Linked DNA regions of Callithrix jacchus. The protein of the gene in region 3 interacts with the protein of the main gene of each other region in a biochemical or structural test. Links are inferred from orthologs where the notes say so. Each region holds a gene or a part of one and is shown on either strand. Other genes may lie near its edges.

What was found.
Region 1: the proteins of NTRK2 (region 3) and BDNF form a complex in vitro, tested with the Homo sapiens proteins (3 studies listed by BioGRID). The link is inferred for Callithrix jacchus from reciprocal best matches to the Homo sapiens genes NTRK2 and BDNF.
Region 2: the proteins of NTRK2 (region 3) and PTPN1 form a complex in vitro, tested with the Homo sapiens proteins (2 studies listed by BioGRID, with this or other methods). The link is inferred for Callithrix jacchus from reciprocal best matches to the Homo sapiens genes NTRK2 and PTPN1.

The regions. Positions count from the first base shown.
Region 1 is NC_133511.1:93,064,347-93,068,595, reverse strand, and holds the start of BDNF (neurotrophic factor BDNF precursor form), read left to right. Parts: upstream 1-1,449; 5' UTR 1,450-1,959; coding exon 1,960-2,184; intron 2,185-4,249. UniProt on the Homo sapiens protein: Important signaling molecule that activates signaling cascades downstream of NTRK2. During development, promotes the survival and differentiation of selected neuronal populations of the peripheral and central nervous systems.
Region 2 is NC_133506.1:46,046,775-46,051,060, forward strand, and holds the start of PTPN1 (tyrosine-protein phosphatase non-receptor type 1), read left to right. Parts: upstream 1-1,486; 5' UTR 1,487-1,653; coding exon 1,654-1,716; intron 1,717-4,286. UniProt on the Homo sapiens protein: Tyrosine-protein phosphatase which acts as a regulator of endoplasmic reticulum unfolded protein response. Mediates dephosphorylation of EIF2AK3/PERK; inactivating the protein kinase activity of EIF2AK3/PERK.
Region 3 is NC_133502.1:98,299,902-98,303,401, reverse strand, and holds part of NTRK2 (BDNF/NT-3 growth factors receptor), read left to right. Parts: intron 1-2,643; coding exon 2,644-2,949; intron 2,950-3,500. UniProt on the Homo sapiens protein: Receptor tyrosine kinase involved in the development and the maturation of the central and the peripheral nervous systems through regulation of neuron survival, proliferation, migration, differentiation, and synapse formation and plasticity.

The DNA.
Region 1 (4,249 bases), on a different chromosome or scaffold from region 3:
ACAGTCGCACCTGAACAGTTGCATTGATGACTGTATCCGGTCTACACAAGAGGCCATACCTGGGCATAAGAATGGACTGACAAAACCTAGCCAACACACCATTGACAAATACACATTTCTTTTGTTAATAATACCTGTGAAGCCTTTCACAACAGACATTTCCAGTTTTGTTTTCAGGCTCCTTGCAGCTGCTCCTCTAAAAGTCTCCTCTCTTCCCAGAGCTGACAATGACCAGAAGCAAGGTGTTCTGTCTTTTGTGCCATCATTTGGGATGTCAGCTCAGGTATCAGTTTTGTATCAACTCAGTATGGCTTGTGGGTCTGTTTGCCTTTGTTATTCATGCCAAGAGCCTCTGGGCATCAGTTCCGTGTGAGAGAACCCATTCCATGACCCTCCTTCTTTTGGCTGTTTTGACTCGATGGCTCTTGTTGGCATAGTCGGTGAATGTCTGATGCTCTATCCATGCCAGACCACCTGCTTTGCTGTCTCTGTGGTCTGAACTAGTTGTCTGAACTACTCTTTGATAATCTGAGATTACCTTGCTCTACCTTTCTTTTCAAGTCACATCTCAGCCCCTCAGCCACATTCCCGAAGAACATGACAAACGGATGGGTCACAAGTCACGTAGCATAGTGTGTCAGACCACCAGGTTTTGAAGGGATTCTGTTTGGGTGCCAAAAAGAAAGATTTTATGTCACCATGATTTTTTTTAATGGCCTGTTGACACTTAGGCCTTAATTGAAAGCATTCTTACTCAAGTAGAGTTGACAGAGGAGTATTTGGTAGTTGTGGTTGCTGGTCTGAAAAGCATGTGGCTCTGTTTCAATACTCAAAGAGATCTTCTCAGGGGAAAAAGTTCTGACATCTCAAACAAATGACCTTCATGCATAGTTTTGACACGATGCCCTATTAAGTATGTGTGTATGGTCGGTACCTTGTGGTAATAATTCAATACGGGGAACAGAGTAGCAACAAAGAAACATTAGGGTTATATTTAACCTCTGTGGAATTGGTGTGTAAACAAACTGCTTATCAGAAATGATCATATGGGGCTTTGTTTAAATAAATAAGAAACTGACACACAGGGTCTGTGGGATATCTCTGCCAAGCAGACCACCCTCACATTATAAGATACCACATCCATGTCTGACCCCATATGGAAAGAGGCATAGCAAGCCAGCACTGGTTCATATTCCGTCCACCACATAGTGGGTTTGTGATCTTAGGGAATCCACCACAATGCTCTGAAACTCTCAGTTTCCTCAGCTATAAATAGTGAATAATCAAATGATCTACCTCACCATTAATAAATGTTAGCTATTTTTAAATCAAGTTTAATACAAAGAGAAACATTTTATTTTTCCAGCTGCCCAGAGCATTTTCCAAAATCCTATCACCAACAAATACTATATTGTATTTATTATAGCAACTTTGTATAAATGGAGTCCCTGTCCTATGCTTAGATGAAATATGTTGGCATTTGAGTTTGCATGTCTTCTATAGGAATAAGTGTTTAGTGAAAATGGGTGGAGACAAACAGATGTTCTCACAGTCCTGTTATTCACAGTACCGCCAAATCGAATGTTTCCATATAGGTGCATTCTAATGGCTTAAATGATGCGGATATTTTCTGGCCAGCCATATGGATCTTTTGTCATCTAAGATGTTAATATTTTCCTTATATTTTATAGTAGTTCTGGAGGACCGCCAGTTTCTTGAATAGGGTCCACATGGCTCATTATGCACAGGGCCTGGAAACTGCCTTACGCATGCTGTTGAGATGAACAGTGACACTTCAGAAGAGCTGGGAGCTGGGGTAGAGCAGTGGCTAGGAGAACATATTCAATTATTTTTCCACTTGCATTAAGCTACAAGTAATGAGCACTTTCCTGTGCTTTACAGTAAGTAATTAAAAGAAATTATAAAGTTGGATGCAAAAATAACCCGAAGGACAACTGGATGTGTGGAGCCACCAGTTTTCTCCATGAGCACACAAGGTTAATCCTTGTTACTGCTCAGAATGCTGAGTTTCTACAGGAAGGGTTGCAGGTCCACACATGTTTTGGCGTCTACCCACACACTTCTGTATGGCATGACTGTGCATCCCAGAAGAAGGGCTGTGCTGTGTGCCTCCGCGTTTCAGTGGAATTTAACAAACCGATCCCTGAAAATGGTTTCATAAAGGTGAGTAACAGCTAATAGCCTTCTCTTGCTAATTTTATCTTTCCCCCAAGATTTCTTGATAATAATTTGAAAAGGAGTGTTATTCCTTGGTCTCTAGAGGCAACTTACCTTTCCAGTTTCTTCCCTCACCTGTTTTCAACTCTCTTGCTTTTTTAAATTTAATGTTCTATGTATTTCAGAAGATAGGATCTAACCTAGTGAGGTCCCTTCATCAGGTGATAATTATCTCATTTTCATTTTGGCCCTCTGAATTAATGGCATTGAAGCCTGGCAGTTTGATCCTAAGATGGGTTTAATTATGTACAGATACTCTTTCTATAATGGAAATTGCTCAGATAACTAATTAACCACAAGAATACACTGACTATGGAAAATTTCAGGAGCACCGTCTGTGGAAAAACTGGGAAGGGCATGCTGTCACCACAGCTCTGGGGTCTATTAAAAGTGTGGTTATGCAGCACTGGTGTCTAGTGGGGCGTTGGCTCTCAACTGTCAGAATTCCCATAGCATTTCATGGCAGAGAGTCAAGATGTCCAGCAATACTCTGAAAGCAACCTGTTGATTAAAGTTGTTAATTCTGAAGAAAGTGATTGAAATAAGACAAATGGGTCTTAACTTTCTTTCTCTTTCTCTCTTTTGTAAAAAAGTGTGATCATCCTGGCATGTGCCCAATCCTAACATAATGCCAACATCTTTTCTTAAAGGGGGATTCTGTTTATCCTTGGGTCTGACAGTTATTGCCTGTTCTCCCCTTAGGGACAATGAATGCAGTTGCATCACCCTTGCTTGCTTTTCTTTTTTTTTTCTTTTCTATTTTTTTTTGGTACAGAACATGCTTATTTTTGGATGTAGGGACTTGAAAGACAAAGCCCCACCTGGCTTTCACAACATCTCCTGTTAGTAGGTGTGCCTTGTATGTAATTTGAAGGAGGCAGTCCCTTAGCTGTGTTTACACTATACTTTTCATTGTGGGGCTGAAGGTGCAATCAACTATACTTGAGATGCTACCTGGGAAAACAGGGTTCTGTGTCATCTCAGCCCCACCCATTTGCAAATGATTTAACAGCAGCACTATTCGGGTTCCTAGTGCAAGTCATTTGCCTTTGGGCCCGTGAACTTGGTGACTTCGTGTATGGAAACAAACAATCTTTGCAGTCTTTTGTAAAAAGCCTAAACAGTGGACCAGTCTCCAGTTCTACTTGGCAAAGCTGCCCCCATCAAATCCCTCATAATGTTCAACTTAAAAATTTTTACTTTTCTCTGGAAATCTAACTTTTTTCCTTTTAAAAAAAACCATTTTAAGTACTTCAGTCTTGAATGAAATGATCCCAAATATTGGACACCAGCTAAAAAATTGAATTACCTTCTGGGAACCTTATTGAAGAAGAGAGATATTGTTTGGAGAGGGGGTTTCGATGCTTGATACTTATATTTACTGTTTTAAGATTTCATTGTTGTTGCTGCTGCTGCTTTATTCCGTAAGTTTTGTTTCTTTAAATTTCATGGTATTTGGTAGGAGAGATCTGGATCTGTTGGTTTCAGGACGAGTCTAGAAATAAGAAATCTGCCTTGAGTGGGTGAGTTGGTTCGCTCTGTTGCTATTTCACCATTTAGGACCAAAAGAACTCACAAGGACAAGAGACATCTGGCTAAAAGTAATACCAGTGTGACTGGACATCTACTACCTGCCATAATTGGTCATATCATTTCCAGTATGATGCTGATTGAGTGAATGATATTAGGCTATGTTCAGGGATCACAGAGGCTAATTGTGCTTATATTGCCTTATAGCATTGTGGTAAAAATTAATGATTATGTAGATGTCCACATTTAGGTTATCAATACTCTAAAAGTTCTCATTGAACCAATCATGTTTATAAGTAGCTTGTACTTTGTAACATAATAACAATAGTGGAAAAATTAGTTGACATAAAAAGAGTGCAGACTTTATTTAATACCATTACAAAAGCAAAGGCATTTTTCCACATAAATGTCCCCATAAAATAAATGGAACCAAAGAGGAAAGATGACAGGTAACCCCATGACATGCTAAGAAAGTATCCTA
Region 2 (4,286 bases), on a different chromosome or scaffold from region 3:
TAGCATCAGTGACACCATTTTAATTTTTAGTCTAGTCTGTTGAGACCCTAGTGCGGAACTTTTTTTTTTTTTGAGATGGAGTTTCGCTTTCATTGCCCAGGCTGGAGTGCAGTGGAGCTATCTCGGCTCATTGCAACCTGCGCCTCCCAGGTTCAAGCAATTCTCTGCCTCAGCCTCTGAAGTAGCTGAGATTACACACGCCCGCCACCACGCCCATTAATTTTTTTTGGTATTTTTAGTAGAGACGCGGTTTCACTATGTTGGCCAGGTTGGTCTTGAACTCCTGATCCTGTGATCCACCTGCCTTGACCTCCCAAAGTATTGGGATTACAGGCATGAGCCACCGCGACCAGCTTTTTTTTTTTTCTCTTTTTTTAAGACAGGGTCTCACTCTGTCACCCAGGGTGGAGTGCAGTGGCGCCATCAGAGCTCACCACAGCTGCCACCTCCTGGACCCAGGTGACCTTCCTGCCTTAGCCTCCCCAGCAGCTGGCCCTACCACATCGGCTAATTTTTTTAGCTTTTAGTAGTGACAAGGTCTCATTATGTTACCCAGACTGCTCTGGAACCCCTGGTCTCAAGGCATCTGCCCACCTCTGCCTCCCAAAATGCTGGGATTACGGACGTGAACCACCGCGCCTGGACTCTTATGATTTTTATTTAACATAATGCACCAGGAAATTTGTGCTCTGCCTCGTTCAGTCTGAGTAGGAGTTCCCTGATACTCTGGAAAACATTTAAAATCATTCCAGTAGGCCAGGTGCGGTGGCTCACACCTGTAATCCCAGCACTTTGGGAGGCCGAGGCGCGCGGATCACGAGGTCGAGAGGTCGAGACCATCCTGGCCAACATGGTGAAACTCCGTCTCTGAAGAAAAAAAAAAGAAAGAAAATCATTCCAGTAAAAAAAAGAAAAGAAAAAAATCATTTCAGTACTCCATCCATTCATTCCTGCAGCACCCAAATGGAAATTCTGCGTTTCAGACAGGGCACTACCCTTAGAGTAGTGGGCTTCCCCAGCAGCCTGGTGAACCACGACACTCCTGAGTTTCATGAAAAGAGGGCAGACATCTGGCCAGAGCTGGGAGGCAGGAAGTGGATCACGGTTTACTCCTCCCATACTCTAGCTTGGATTACTGAGGCCAGGGCTCTGGCGCTGCAGGAAAAGTGCATGACTACTTTAAGGCCACTCACTCTGTGACTCAAAGGGCAAGGTGGAGGCTGGAACTCAAGGACCTCCCGGGCCTGGCGAGCCCACGCGCCATGGGCGGGGCTCCCGGGATCGCCTAGGCAACCCGCGAGAGCCACGCCCGAGCCCAGAGCCCCCCGAAGGGAGGAGGGAGCGCGAGCTATTAGACGTCTCGCGGTGCTATGGCTACTTCCCCTAGCACCTCCCCCGACTCCTCCCCGCGGAAGTGCTTGTCGACATTCTCGATCGTTGATTGGTCCTTATGCTTCAGGGGCGGAGCCCCTGGCAGGCGCGGTGCGTAGTTCCGGCTGCCGGTTGACATGAAGAAGCAGCGGCGGCTAGGGCGGCGGTAGCGGCAGGAGTTGGGGCTTGCAGCGGGCCTCGGGGCTAAGAGCGCGACACGGCTTGGAGCGGCAGACAGCACAGTGGGCTGAGAAGGAGGCACAGCAGCCGCCCTGGCCCGTCATGGAGATGGAAAAGGAGTTCGAGCAGATCGACAAGTCCGGGAGCTGGGCGGCCATTTACCAGGTGCGGGAGCGCCCCGGAGCGTGGCGGGCCCTTCGCTTAGGCCGCGGGAACATCCCCCTCAGGTTCCCAGGCCCCAGACTCCCTCTGGGTCTCGCCTCCGCCTCGCCCCTACCGCTTAAGGATTCGATGGGACAGCGACGCACTGCGCCTCCCGCTCTCTTTGTCCCCCTGGTGGGCCTGTTTCTCGTCGTGGCCTTGGAGCCCCCTTCAATCCCCCACCTCCCTCCTATTCTCCAGCCCTGGTGAATTCTCAAGCCGGGGGGCCGCCGGTCTGTGCTCTAAGCGCGAATCCCTCGCACCCTGACCCCGCCCCCTGCCTGTCCACTCTTTGTCCCCTGGGGTGATTTAGCATCCCCACTATTTCCTTTTCTGGATTGGACCACCTCAGACTCTCTCCCTTTGTCTCCCTGGGGAAAAAGGTTACTCACCCCCTTCACGTTTCCTTTCTCCTAGTCTCATTGTGCGTTGAGTCCCAGGGATGACAGTCCCCTTCTCACTTTCTGTTCATTCATTTATTGGATAGGAGTTGGCGAGCCTGTTCTGTACTGGGCATCGCTTAGGCACTGGAGATTGTGTTTGCTAAACAGTACAGGCAAGATCGTAGTCTTAGTGAAGCGTAGAGTCGAATAGGGCAATCAAACACAGAAGCGAATTCAGTTACGGGTGATGTGAAGAGAACGACTTCCTAACGGGGCGACTGCATAGCCAGTACAGGTGCCGGCTGCCTTAGAGACAGGGCTCAGGGAAGGCCAGTCAGAGGCAGAGACATTTGCTTTGTGAGCTGAACCAGGAGGAGCAGAAAGCCATGAGAATATGGGGCTACAGAACCTTCTGGCCAGGAGGCCTGCGGTACCCACTCCATTGGGGCCATGATACTATCTTTTCGGGCAGGGAATCAGGAAGGTTAGCGTTTTAACCCTCTCTAAAATATCATCTTTCCTCAATCAGCAGCTTAGTCTTTGGTCATGGCTGAGATGACCTTGTCTTAGGAGTCTTCATCTCTATGTGTGTTAAAAAGTTAGGAAAGTAGGGTTTCTCGTATATCTATAAAACAAATAGTTAAAAACACAAAGAGATTTTCCTTTCATAAGCAGCTAAATCCTCCGAAGAAAATACGTGCTCCCAATTAAATGTCATTGCGGGGGCTGTGAAGATTAAAACCACACTTGCACAGTATCTTAAATTAAGCAATGTACAGAATAGAGAGATTTTGTTACTTGTATAAAGGGAGAAGGCCTTTTATTCTGTTTTCAGCTTATAGGCTCAAAAGGCAAATTGTGAGATCTATCAGCTGTTTCGAGCACCACTTAAAAAGGAAAAAAGCTTTAAGCAGTTCTTTGGTATGCTTGACTAACAAATGCCTTTTTTTGGCAGCCTTGATTTTCATGTGAATTTACATCAAGCTTATTTGATGGGATTCTTTTTATTTAGACTGTAGTGTGTATATTAGTTTCCACTAGACTAATATTTCTAACTACTGTAATCTATATACTAATACATATTATCAGTATATAAAACTTGTATATCATATCTGGTCTCTGAATTAGTTGAATGAATTCTGCAAGTAACTGAGAATGTGTAGACAGATTTTCTGCATCAGTTTAATGCAGTTGAGTCTTATGGGGCTTTACATGAAAATTCTTGATCTGAAGTGTTGGAATTGATTATGGTGTACCCCATCACAAGTGGAAGCATTGTGGAGAAATCTTTTCTCCACCATGCTCATGTTTGGCTAATTTTTGTATTCTTAGTAGAGATGGGGGTTTCAACCATATTGGCCAAGCTGGTCTTGAACTCCTCACCTCATGATCCACCCGCCTCAGCCTCCCAAAGTTCTGGTATTACAGGCGTGAGCCACTCTGCCCCATCTGTTTCTTACAGTTTTAAGCCAGGGTGGCCTGACCTGTCACCCAAGCATTGTTAAAACTGTTAAGCATGCAACTATTATAGAGTGTGTCAGTTTTCAGTTAAGTTCCTTCGTTGTTCTTAAGGTTTTTTTGCCACAAACCGCACAAGGTAGTCAAGGTGTTGAGATTTTCCTGCTTCTTAATGGATTGCCACATTTCTGGAGGTAGTTTCTTTTGGTCTTAGAAAATTGTCATGGTGGGCTTTTCTCACCTCCACTGTATGGATATTTTTCTTCTCTAAAATCTTGAAAGCAGAAGCTTTTCTCTCTTTTTTTAAGAGACGGGGGTTTCACCATGTTGGTCATGGCTGGTGTTGAACTCCTGACCTAGTGATCCGCCTGTCTCGCCTCCCAAAGTGCTGGGATTACAGGCGTGAGCCACTGCGCCTGGCTGCTTTTCTCTTTTTAAGTGTAAAGCTAGCTCTTTGTCATACAACTGTAGCATTTTCTAAAACCATTCAAATGACCTTGAGTCTAAAGTGGCTAGTTTTCCAAGGTATGTATCATTTTACCAAAACCATTATTTTTCAGAGATTCAATGAAATGTATTTACAATTGGCAGAAAATGAAAGTTTAAAAAAATTAATATTACATGTCAAAATGAGGGCAGCCTTATACAAAGACATAGTTTGAGCTTGCCTAGCCTATTGTGATTAGAGAAGCA
Region 3 (3,500 bases):
TGCACTGTTCTTAAGTATTATAACTAATACAATATACATTTTGAAATTCCAAATTGTGGCTTTTAGCATGATGATGTATATTCAGTAAAAACTATATAGACACTTCATGTCATTGTAAATTCTGACCTGGCATAGTATAAATTAATGAGGTTTTACTCCATTTGGATTGGAACTCAGATGAGAAAAACATGAGTGTGCATGTGTGTAAGTGTGTGGATGAGTTACACATGTGTAGACCCCTGGCCATAGCTGGTGCCAATATGCTGGTTAACACTCACTCATAGCACACATTCAGTGTGTGATTGCTGGAGTGAACAATTGAAATCATCAGCTATAATCCTTTATCACTGTTAGTACCACCACTATGCCCAGTGGGGACTAAACTCATAATTTCTCATCATTTTGACCCACTCAGAAGCCTGAAGTCAATGTTATCTCCAAACGTTTGCAACCATTTCCAACTATATGTCCTTAAATCAGCACCTAACCCAAAATTCATTTGAGCATGGTGGAAGGAATGAGTGGGCCCTGGGTGTGGGGACCTGGGCTGGTGGGAGGAAGGTAAGTGTGGCCTCTGCCCCACTGTGGTCTTTGTGGTGATTGGTTTATAACACAGGTCTATGAGTGTGTGTATCTACACATGTATGGACCTTATTTTGTGTTTTATATATATATATGTATATATAGGGTTCCCCCAAATTATATTTAAATTGAATTTTTATAGATGAAATCACATATTAAAAACTTTTGTTTTCTGAAGACCATTTTAAGGAGGCCTGTGAGAGATATTTGGTAAAGCAAACAATTAAACTTTGCCAATTTAAGTTTAGTAAAGTCGAATTTCTTACAGTGAAGGACACTGTCACAACATACATATGCAGAGTTCAGCTGCACACTTGCTCAATTGAGAGGAATGTCACTGGTAACTGGAAATCTTTCTGTAAATTTATGAAAGTGAATTGGGCTCTTTTATCAGCTTTTCTTCTTTCTAGGTAGTATTGTGGGAGGATTTACCTGAATACAAGTAAGAGGGTAATATCAGATTACCTGTTTTCTATTAAAAATATCCAAACTTGAGTTTTTTCCTCAGTTTCAGGTTAATATCTATATGGTCACTAGGCTCTGAAAAATTGACTTTATCTGTCAAAGTTTAGACAAACAGCAGAAGCAATACATGTTAAAGAATATTAACATCTGACTGGGTGCAGGGGCTCATGCCTGTAATCCCAACACTTTGGGAGGCTGAGGTGGGTGGATTGACTTGAGATCAGGAGTTCAAGACCAGCCTAGGAAACATGGTGCAACCCCATCTCTACTAAAAATACTAAAATTGGTCAGGCATGATGGCAGGCGCCTATAATCCCAGCTACTCAGAAGGCTGAGGCACGAGAATCACTTGAACCTGGGAGGCGGAGGTTGCAGTGAGCCGAGATTGTGCCACTGCACTTCAGCCTGGGTGACAGAGCGAGTCTAAAGAAACGAAAACAGACAAACAGAAAACAGTAGCAACCAAGATAACCATTGCAGAGACCCCACTCAGAGTGCTTGTCTGTTCCCTGGCTACGATGTCTCAGATTTTTTCTCCTCTTGTTTGATGAACACATGCAGTCAGGAAGGAGTGCATGAGAGGGAAGGGCCATTGGATTAAACATTAGGAGACAAGATTCTTGTTCCAGATCTGCCTTGCTCAGTAACCTTGATGAGGTCACTTAACCTCATTGCACTTTGGTTTCTTCATCTGAAAAAATGATGCTGTTAGATCTCAAAGGTCTTTTCTAGTCCTTGATTTTGTAATTACCAAAGTCAGACTACATTAAAATAAACAGATGAAGGATTTTAAATATCTTCACCCAGGATAAGTACTCTGTTTAAAGAGTGTACTTGATTATGTTTGTTTCCCCAAAGGATAAAGTGCTTTATATTTAAAGTTGAAATAATATCTAATCTGTCCAGGTTTAGATTGGACCCCAAACATTTAAAGGATCAAAACACTGGCATGTGGGATCTTAGCAAAAATGGACAACACTCTGATGAAATGTGATACTTTCAAAGGGTATTTACTATTGACAAGCAGTAAAAAATAATGATTTATTATACTTACAATAATTAATCAGTAGCAGCACATATATTACATTGATCAGTTTGATCTGTTTTTGAAGTTTGTGAGATCAGGGCTTCAGGTAAAATTTTAAGAGTCATTTTTGTTATTTGTTTTATTTAGGAAAGAAGTACTATCAAAAAGTATCCATTATTTTATGATTTTTGGTATTTTTGGTGATGAATCTATGTAATATCAAGATACAGATACTATTAGCCAAAGTCAACTTCAAATGGATTCTTTCCACTCTCAGAAATCTCTTGGATCTGTTTGGAGCTGGTTTTCAATTATACTGAATAGATTTGAGAAATGACTGTAATGCATGGGTCTTAAGTAGAACAGTAGAAGGAGTTGCTCTGAAGCTCTCTGCAGGGAGTTACATCCACCCTGATGATGATACAAAATACTGATGGATTCCAGAGTTTCTGGTCATGTGTTTTTCTAAGCCAAATAACAGTTGAGTAAAATTCCCTATCAATGAAGACATCTCGATGGGGAGAATTCTGAGCTTTCTGATGCTATTAACTCTCTCTTTTTCAATTTAGTTGCACCAACTATCACATTTCTCGAATCTCCAACCTCAGACCACCACTGGTGCATTCCATTCACTGTGAAAGGCAACCCCAAACCAGCGCTTCAGTGGTTCTATAACGGGGCAATATTGAATGAGTCCAAATACATCTGTACTAAAATACACGTTACCAATCACACGGAGTACCACGGCTGCCTCCAGTTGGATAATCCCACTCACATGAACAATGGGGACTACACTCTCATAGCCAAGAATGAGTATGGGAAGGATGAGAAACAGATTTCTGCTCACTTCATGGGTTGGCCTGGAATTGATGACGGTGAGTAACTGACGCTTTTGCATGTGGGGAGAAGATACAGTCTATCATTTACCTGTTGACAAAGTCATGTATACAATAAACCATCTCCAAACCCAGTGGCTTAAAACTCCATTGTTTAGTCATGGATCCATAAGTCAGTGGAGTAGTTTTATTTTGCATGTACCTATTGTGGGATGCAGGGTGATGAAGCCGCAGCTACACAGGAGATGTGCTTGTTATGACAAGTGCAGAGTGAAAGAGGACAATAGGAAATATGAGAGTCTTCTTAAGGCCTAGCTTCAGAGCTGGTGCACTGGACTGTCTCTTCAGTGTATCTGCCATTGGCCAAAGCAAGTCACAGGGCCAAAGCCAAGTTAAGGGGCAAGGACAATTTTGAACAGTTATGTGATATACACTGTATTAATAACTACTCTAGGGTGCTTGGGCATTTTATGATAAAAGGGCTATTATTATTATTACCATAATTGTTGCAAGTGTTTAATGAGTTTTTGTACCCACAATGGCAAAACCCATGCAAAACCACAAGCAGAGGAACTGTGTTTGGTTGGGTC